Mus musculus: one gene and its partner. The protein of the gene in region 1 purifies or fractionates together with the protein of each later gene. This does not show direct contact. Links are inferred from orthologs where the notes say so. Each region holds a gene or a part of one and is shown on either strand. Other genes may lie near its edges.

Region 1 (4,877 bases):
GAGCGACCGTTCCTGATGCGCACCAGACCCTTAAAGCACTGCACAGGAAGTGGCTGACATGTGTGAGTCCCAGCTCCTCAACTATGCCACAGTGACATGTGACAAATGAGCAAGGTAAGCTCCAATCACACGGATTTTATGGAGGTTGGAATTTTAATATCACAGAGTTTTTATATGGCATGAATTTTTAAAATATTTTTCAAGTGTTTAAAGTGTAAGATCTACTTTTGGCCTGCACTGGCAGAAAAACAAAGCATACAGTGGGTCAAATTCAATGCTTGGCTACAGTGTGTTAAGCCCGAGCAAGGTAAACTTCTTGAGAGTCATTTATGGGACTCAGAATCTAGACTAAAAAATATCTGAAACAGATTAAAGGGGTGTGCCAGCACCACCTAGCTTACTCTTTAGTAAGCTAGAAAGTACATAATAAAAAGCTATAAAGAATTAAGCAATGCTTTTTTTTTTTGAGACAGGGTTTCTCTGTGTAGCCCTGGCTGTCCTGGAACTCTCCTTGTAGACTAGGCTGGCCTCGAACTCAGAAATCCACCTGCCTCTGCCTCCTGAGTGCTGGGATTAAAGGCATGCGCACCACACCCGGCTAAGCAATGCTTTTTAACTAAGAGAATTTAATCACAAATCTTTAAACAGTCACAGAAGTAAGGGTATTTATGAAGTGGACAAAGCGGGATGTGCGCAGAATCTAATGGATCCCGGCAAATCTTCCAGGTAGGAATATTGTTCCCAGTAGTCATGGATATCTGGGATTGGGCAAATCGGGCTTCTCTCTTTCTATCTAAAACAGCATCTTGGTGAGCAAAACAATCTGTCACCAACAGTATGACAGCGGCTCTGTAACTAGAGCGGAGGATTTGCATTCTGAAGCACCTGTCACGCCTCACCATGAAGAATGCACAGCATAATTAAGTGATAGCTCCTTGTGGAGATGGTAAAGCAGAGTGGACTTGGTGATGGGAAGAGGAATTTTGGATGGTCCTGTGTGCGCGCATGCATGGGCATGACTACACCCATCTGCCTGTCTGTCTGTCAGCCACAGAACTGAAAGACCAGGTAAAAAGGTTGATTTCTGCAATCCAAAAATCAAACCTGAAAAACTATCCTGGTGTTAAATGGCTATGATCATGAAGGAACTCATTTAGGTAACCAGTTTTTTAAAAACAGCAACCACAGACATCACTACCTGTCAATGACGACGAGAGAGCCCACGATGTGCAGGGCTCTGTTGGGAGCCTATTGAGACCTTACCTGCTAGTCTGGTAGATGCTTTCATTCACATCACTAAGGAACCTCAGTTTCCTAATTCCCAGAGGGAAGGCAAAGTCCAGAAGTGAGCGAGGTCTTGAAGAGCCCAGGCAGGGCTGGAGTTTGAGCACACTCACCAGATTGGGCCAAAGTGCAGGCTGCTATCTGGAGATATAGGTGTAGGTTCTGGAGGGAGAGCGGGTCTCATTCTGGGCACTGGGAGGCACATTTAAGAAATCCCAAATCAAAATAGTGTCATCATGGGAGCTGCTGATGATCTGAAACTCATCAAACTGCAGCCGAAACACACGTCCAGAGTGTTCCTATGGAAAAGCGGCTTGGTTAACATGTAGGAAGGATGGCTTTACAGCCCCTATCACCAGAGCTGGGATTTAGCTCAGGCGGGAAAGTCAGCACTTTTCAATGCCTCCTGCGTGGTCCCCCCTCCCCCCTCCCCCACCCACACACACACACTGAGCCGCATCCTTTCCCTGAGAACAAATGTTCTGCTTTCTAGAATATACGCCTCTAGGTTTTTCTTTTTCTTTTTCCTTTAAAAAAAAAAAAGATTTATTTATTTATTTTATGTATATGAATACACTGTAGCTATCTGCAGACACACCAGAAGAGGGCAACAGATCCCATTACAGATGGTTGTGAGCCACCATGTGGGTGCTGGGAATTGAACTCAGGACCTCTGGAAGAGCAGTCAGTGCTTTTAACTGTTGAGCCATCTCTCCAGCCCCTAGGTTTTTCTTTTTTAAATTAAACATTATGTCCTACATTATAGCCTAGTAATGTGAAGAAAAACAGAGGCTGTCAGAGTAATACCCATTCAGGATATACTGTAAAACTAGACTCAGAAGGGCAAAGTTGCTATAAACTTTTTTTTTAAGATTTATTTATTTTATGTATATGAACACACTGTAGCTGTCTTCAGACACACCAGAAGAGGGCATCAGATCCCATTACAGATGGTTGAGAGCCACCATGTGGTTGCTGGGAATTGAACTCAGGACCTCTGGAAGAGCAGCTGATGCTCCAAACTGCTGAGCCATCTCTCCAGCTCCCTATAAAATTCTTTAAAAAGATGACCAAGAACATCTGTATTAAGTCATAGCAGTCATCAAAATTCATGGTGAAAGTAAGAGTGGCTCTTACAGTGCTGCCTGCTGTAGTCAATGCAGATACAACTCCTGGGCCTAGAGAGCATGCTCAGTAGTTAACAGTACTTGTCGGTCTTACAGAAGGACCCAGGCTCAATTCCCAGCACCCACTTGGCGGCTCACAACCATCTTAGTTCCAGTGGATCCAACAGATTCACACAAGGTGAACACATACCTACGTAGGCAAATTGTTCATACAAATTTATTTATTTGAGAGAGGATTTATCTGTGAAGATTAGAGGTGTGTGTCACCAGCATGGCCCTAAAGATAATTTTCTAAAAAGAAACAAAATTGCTGAAAAATTTCAAGAAAAGCCTATCACTATTTTCAGATGTCTCTCAAAGGAAAACAAAAATTCCAACAGAAGCAGCCTCAATATTAGAAATCAATAGCTTTAGTAATGTTAAAAAAGATCCACATATCCAAATAAAGTATTTACTTGGTCTTAAAGCAAGCAAGACATTCTGCCATGCCACTGACATGGAAAATCAACCACCTGGAGGTCTATCAGAGTCAGTGGATAATAAAGCAGACACGGGCAGACACTGACCCCACAGACTGGCACCTCACAGAAACGAAGCAGAAAGAAGGGTTCAAAAGTGAGAGATGGGGAAGGCTAGATGAGAGAAGGGTGGACAGGTGGACTGAATCCAATGCTCCTCAGAAGGCCCAAAGTCTCACTCACCCAGACTGCAGGACTCCCTGCCAATCATCCACCCCACTATAGAGTGACCAGGAAAATGCATAGTGTTGGGTACTTCAAAATTTGTTAAAAGTATATGTAGCCAAGGTCTTATGGCCTCAAATTCACGATGTAGCCAAGGATGACCTTAGACTCCTAATCCTCCTGCCTCTGTCCCAAGAATTGAGATTAAAAGTCTAAACTACCATACCATACTTGGTTTTTAAAAAAACGGATTTTTAATATTTCTATCAAAGAAATGAAAACTGATATATTCATTAATTTGTTGACAATTTTTCTATAATGTATATTATAGACCAAAGTATCACACTATTCTCTTTGATAATATAGTTACTAATTTAAAATAAATTTTAAAAATTAAAGTGTTTCTATGTGCCAAAGGAGCCCATATAATAGAGACTGGGGGAGGAGGGGAATTAGACCTTAACAATTTACTACTGTGCAGTTATAAGATATAACACAACTGCACACTACAGAACCCCTAAGGCTCCAGGAGAAATGAGCACAATCATGAGGGTGCCTGCTCACCTACACAGGACCCTGCAGCAGTGTAAATGAACTATGTTCTGGCTGGCCAAAAATACCTATACGTCTCTCAAAGTGTGGTACAAGACACACGCTTTCCCCACCCCAACAAATCACATACCACCAAGGTGCGCAGACACAATGTGCTTGCTGGGGCCCGAGGGTCAAGAGCAGCCTGCAAGTCCCAGACTTTAATCTTCCTACAAGGAAAAATGAGACTGGAATTAATAAAAGAGTTAACATTTTCTACACTGTGAACATACCCATGACAAAACAGTTCACTTGAAAGGTCTACAACCAAACCCAACAGGCGACAGGCTGGTGTTTCTAAGTTTTTGAACTTAGACTTTGAGTGTTTGATTTTAGAAAAAGAACCTAACCCCTCTCAGAATCTCTGAACCCTTAAAGGGATATTACTGCTAAGGAGGTGGACAGGCAGAAGACTCAGGAGTACTTAATTCACTTCCTAACTTAATACCTATGTTACAAAATTCAATATTTGGGGGACTAATGAGATGGCTAAGATGCCTTTCTCCAAATGAAGAAATGGCTAGCACACTAATGCCCCACTGACCAAACATATATAAGGCAGACTGGGACTTACAGCTTCCATTAGTCATTGAGAACAAAAGGAGAAAAGAGGAATTTTATTACTGAGTTCATGGGGGAAGGGAGTGTTTCCTGGTTTATTTATAAAAGAATGGAATTCCCTATAGTTTAATCTGTATATGTGCGTATTTGTATGCATTTGTTTGGTTGGGGTGTGTGTGTGTGTGTGTGTGTGTGTGTGTGTGCCGCACACACACATGTCTGAGAACAACTCTTCTGGAGTGAGTTCTCTCTCCTTCACGTGGATTGAACTCAGGTTGCCAGGCTTGTGCAGCAAGCACCTTCCCTAATTTTTGTATTTCTGTTAATGGTTACAACACAAGCGAGTCTTCAAGTGCCTGGCTACAACACGATTGAGGCAGGCTTTACTTCAGCTTCCTGGATCTGAGCATCCTCACCTGACCCACTGCTATGACAGATCTTTCTCATAGAGTTCTGCATTCACATTGCTGTTTAATACACAGCAACTTTGACAAGGCTACAGCCATGCTTGTGCAGATGAAACACATACCCATCATAGGCGCCACTGACAATCCTCTTGTTATCAAAACGGATGCACCGGACCAATTCTTCGTGCCCCTCTAGGACTCTTAAACAGGCACCACATTCAATA
Region 2 (4,877 bases), on another chromosome or scaffold:
GTGCGCCACCACACCTGGCTTCTTAGCTTGCTTTTTAGATGGGAAGTTTCTGCTTGGTTGTGGTTTGGAGGCAGGAGCTATGTATGCTATGTAGCCTAGGCTGGCCTCAATTCACCATCCTCTGCCTCTAAGTTTTGAGATTACAGAAGTACTGGGATAGGTTTGTGCCACTATGCCTAGCCTAAATTTCCACCTTAAAGGAAAACACTACCATTAGAAACGAAGAACTGCGCTGCAGTCAGGCCACAGTGAAGCCACAGTGAAGAGTAGCTTCAAGGGCAGCTAAGACAGTTTCATTTCTAGCTGGTAAAGCCATACATTTAATTTATACAATGTTTTTCTCTATCTGCATTTTAGTTTATAACAAAAAGATTAAAACAGGAGTCACCTTATCCAAGCAGAGATTCCCATGCCTCTCTGCAATAGCCTTCCTGAAGCCATGGGAAAGAGGGTACAGCATGCTATGGTGAGGATGGACAGAAGGCAGTCTATTCTTCTCTAGCTGCTCAGCTACAATACTAACCAATTTCTTCATCCGCTCATCATAGTCTGTCCAATCACAGACAATCTAGAGGAAGCAAAAAGAAATTATCACCCAAAAAACCTACCCAAAGATTTATTTTACAAGTATTTGAGCTCCTAGAGTAGTATTAGGCAATCTCCTACAAGCATGGTCTTGCGGCTGGCTCGCTGAGAAAAGGCGTACCTTGCGTACCTGACAACGAGTCCAATGCCTAGGACCCAGGTGCTAAAAGAAATGACTCCTAAAAGCTGCCCTATGACTGCCAGTTGCCCCAAAAAAATAAAAATAAAATAAAAAATAAAAATGAAAACACTGTCTTGTCTCTAAACAGGCCTAGATTATTATGACACACAATTAAAAAATGGTGACGTTGCAGAAAGAAAAATAATGGACCATTTATTCTTTACCTGTAGGCAATGAGCCAAGTTACAATAAGCATCAGGAAAGTCAGGCTTAAGTTTCAGAGCTGTGCGGTAAGAAGCTATTGCTTCTGGGATATTCCCTGAATCCTGGAAAGAAAACGAACTTGTAAGGAGTTTCTTACAATGATAGGTCAGTGCTAAGGTACCCCATATTTGAATAAACAACAGTACCTTGTGAATGGAGGCCAGATTGCTGTGTGCATCAGCAAAGGCAGGATTAATCTGGATGGCACGAGTATAACACTGCAAAGCGCCCTGCACATCCTGCATCTCCTTTAGAGTGTTTCCCATATTGGAATAAGCATCAGCAAATGTAGGACTAATTCTGAAGGAGAAGACAAAGGTTTGATTACCTCATGCAAAATCTTGTTGTAAAGCACTTGGGGGCTTTGGCACATGGTTTAGTGCTACAATACTCGCCTACCAAGCGTGAGGCCTAGTTTGAAACCCCAGCACCAAAGAGGGAAGGAGAATCATTTTAACACCTGCCAAATGTCAAACCTTTAATTAGGTAATAAATTATTAAATAGTAACAATAAATGATGATAACTGGGGCTCAGCAATTAGGAACTCTCATTGCTCTTCCAGAGCCTGAATTCTGTTCCCAACATCAACGTCCAGCTCTAGGGGCATAAAGCACCCACTTAGGGAATTTATGCACATTTTATACACATATAATACACACATAATTAAAAGTAAATTAATCTTTTAAAATATGACAATAATAAGCTGGGTGTGTTCCCTGTACTTGGAAAGCAGAGGCAGGCAGATCTCTTTGAGTTCGAGGCCAGCCTGTTCTACAGTGCAAGTTCAGGAAAACCAGGGATACAGACAGGAACCCTGTCTTTAAAAAGAAAAAAAAGGAGTAATTTGAAAAGGTTAGTGAGATGGCTCAGCAGGTAAAGGAAGCTACAATCAAGCTTGATAACTGAGTTCAACCACAGAAACTATGAAAAGCTGAAACAACTCCAATAAGTTGTCCTCTGACCTCCACATGGGCACTACAGTATAAGCCCACATTTCCTCACACCCACAAAATAAATGAAATAGAATTATTAAAAAATTAAAACAGGCCAGGTGTGGTGGCGCACACCTTTATTCCCAGCACTCAGGAGGCAGAGGCAGGCGGATTTCTGAGTTCGAGGCCAGCCTGGTCTACAGAGTGAGTTCCAGGACCGCCAGGGCTATACAGAGAAACCCTGTCTGGAAAAAAAATTAAAACAGAACATCCCTTTAACCCCAGTACATGACTTCTAGGCTAGCCTGATCCACATGGAGATCCAGGACAGTTGGGGAAAAGTCCTGTCTCAGGGGAAAAAAAAAAGAAAACTAAGTGAATAAACAAAAAACAAGGGGCTGAGAGAGTGGCTCAGCAGCTAGGAGCACTGGCTGCTCTTCCAGAGGACCTGGGTTTGGTTCCCAGCATCCACATGGGGCAGCTCACAACTGCCTTACTCCAACCCCAGGAGGTCTAACACCTTCCCTCCCTCTTCTGGCCTCAGTAGGGACCTACATGCACAACATATACCCATATACAGATGAATAATTTTTAATGATTTTTAGGTTTAAAATAAGGAAGCCGAGTATGGCAGTACAGGCCTTTAAACCCAGGACATGGGGGGCAGAGGTAGGTAAATTTCAGTAAGTTTAAAGGCCAGCCTGATCTACATAGTAAGTTCCAGAACAGCCAGGGCTACATAATGAAACCCTGGCTCTTAAAAAGTTTAAAATAGCCCGGCGTGGTGGCGCACACCTTTATTCCCAGCACTCGGGAGGCAGAGGCAGGCGGATTTCTGAGTTCGAAGCCAGCCTGGTCTACAAAGTGAGTTCCAGGACAGCCAGAGCTATATAGAGAAACCCTGTCTCGAAAAACCAAAAAAAAGAAAGTTTAAAATAGTTAATTTTTTTAAATTATTTTTATTATTTTATGTGTGTGGATGTTTTGCCCACATGTATGGCTGTGTAACATGATATGCCTGGTGCCCTTGAAAGGCAGGATTTCCTAGGTTAGATTTATAGATGGTTGTGAGCTACCACATGGGTACCAGGAATTGAACCTAGATACTCTCAAAGAGCAGACAGTATTCTTAATCCCTGAGTCATCTCTCCAGGCCCAAATTTTTGTTTTACACGGTGTCTTACCATGTAGCCCTGGCTGGCCTAGCTCTTGCTACGTAGATTAGGCTGGCCTTAAATTCACAGAGATCGAACTACATAAGCTCCTGAGTGCTGGGATTAAAGTATATAGCACTATGCCAAGCCTTAACAAAAATAGATGCCAGGTAGTGGTGGCACACAACTTTAATCCCTGAATTTTGAGAGGCAGAGGAGGCAGAGGAGGCAGAGGCAGGTGGATCTGAGTTCCAGGTCAACCTGGTCTTACAGAGTAAGTTCCAGGACAGTCAGGGCTACTTAGAGAAATCTTGTCAAAAAGAGAAAGAACAAAAAGATGCTGAACTGGATTTGGGTGGGTGGGGGGATAGGCGTCAATCCTATGCAAAGATATACAGGCAATCTAAGTGATACTAAGAGATTGAGAGAGTCTTCTGTAGAGAGTCTGTGAGAGTCTTCTGTAGGGAAGAGCACACCAATTGGTTATCCGACACCAAATGGTCAACCCTAAAAACATACACACAAGTAACATTATGCAGGTTGTACAAGTTATATTTAGAAATATATATGCATATAAATACATATACATATATGTGCGTTACAACAATTCATGAAAAAGGTGGCCATGGATTTGAGAGCAAGGAGGTATGGTTTATGGGAGGGTTTTGGAGAGGCAGGAAAGAGAAAATGATATAATTATAATCTCAAAAATGAAAATAGAAAGAAAGCAGCTCTGAGTTTCTTACCGTATGGCTTCTTTATAGTGCATCAGTGCTTCCTGCAGCTTGCCCTGCTGTTGCAGTACACTTGCTAAATTGGAATGTGCAGCAGCAAACTCTGGGAAGACCTACAGAGTTCCGATCACAGCGGACATTAAATAGCAGAAAGAATCTTCCTTTACCTCCCACAGCCCTGAGTACGTCCCCATGTATCCCAACTTCTCTCCGCCTTTTCTAAGTCTAGTAGCTCAAATTCTACAGCTTCTCCATTTTATACCAATCTTCATTTCAAACGAGAGGTATGCCTCTCTTCCTGTTACTCATGCTGAGTAATGCCACTTTTATCAACCTCCACACCTACTAACCACTAGACACAGGCCTGAGTTCTTCACTGCACTAGCTTTACTTAGCTTACTGGTCAATCTTTGTGCAGATCTCACCTATGCATAATGAGCTCAATATAGGGGTGTCTTACATGTCCACAGGACCTTACATCAATAATGAATGATCCTCTTAAAGAGGTGAATGGCAGCTGAGCAGTGGTTGGGCACACCTTTATTAACCCCAACACTTAGGACTCTCTGGGTTTGAGGCCAGCCTGACCTACACAGTTGAGTTCGAGGACAGCCAGGGCTACACAGAAAACCCCTGCCTCAAAATCCAAAACTAAAACCAAAAGTAAAAATAAAATAAAAATCAACCCAGAGGTGAATGGCAGGCAAACAACTGCTTTCCCTCTATTGTCACACAGGCTAGGCTAAACCCTCCAGCCACGGCACTGAACATACTTCTAATGCTTTGCGATACAGGCGAACTGCCTCTTCAATGTTGCCCTGTTCCCGTTTGATGTTGGCAAGGTTATTCAAAGAGTCTGCATGAGTAGGACACAGACGAAGAGCTGTGTTATAACAATCTTCTGCTTCAGCAACCTGGAAAATGAAACAAACCATTCAGAAACTACACAGAAGAATCAAAGAGACCACTGTTATTCTAGTAATTCAAGTAGGTGCATCATTGAGTCTAATGGTTGGGAACACACCAGAAAACAGACACTTTCCAGTATCCTCCTGCCCAGCAAACAACACTCCAAAGGAAATCAAT

The links.
Region 2: the proteins of Fbxw11 (region 1) and Ogt purify together in Homo sapiens (affinity purification with mass spectrometry; 3 studies listed by BioGRID and IntAct, with this or other methods). This does not show direct contact. The link is inferred for Mus musculus from reciprocal best matches to the Homo sapiens genes FBXW11 and OGT.

Annotation. Positions count from the first base shown.
Region 1 is NC_000077.6:32,739,165-32,744,041, reverse strand, and holds part of Fbxw11 (F-box/WD repeat-containing protein 11), read right to left. Parts: coding exon 4,776-4,877; intron 3,856-4,775; coding exon 3,777-3,855; intron 1,584-3,776; coding exon 1,422-1,583; 3' UTR 1,398-1,421; intron 1-1,397.
Region 2 is NC_000086.7:101,663,671-101,668,547, reverse strand, and holds part of Ogt (UDP-N-acetylglucosamine--peptide N-acetylglucosaminyltransferase 110 kDa subunit), read right to left. Parts: intron 4,706-4,877; coding exon 4,565-4,705; intron 3,905-4,564; coding exon 3,804-3,904; intron 1,271-3,803; coding exon 1,117-1,270; intron 1,033-1,116; coding exon 931-1,032; intron 569-930; coding exon 389-568; intron 1-388. UniProt on the Homo sapiens protein: Catalyzes the transfer of a single N-acetylglucosamine from UDP-GlcNAc to a serine or threonine residue in cytoplasmic and nuclear proteins resulting in their modification with a beta-linked N-acetylglucosamine (O-GlcNAc).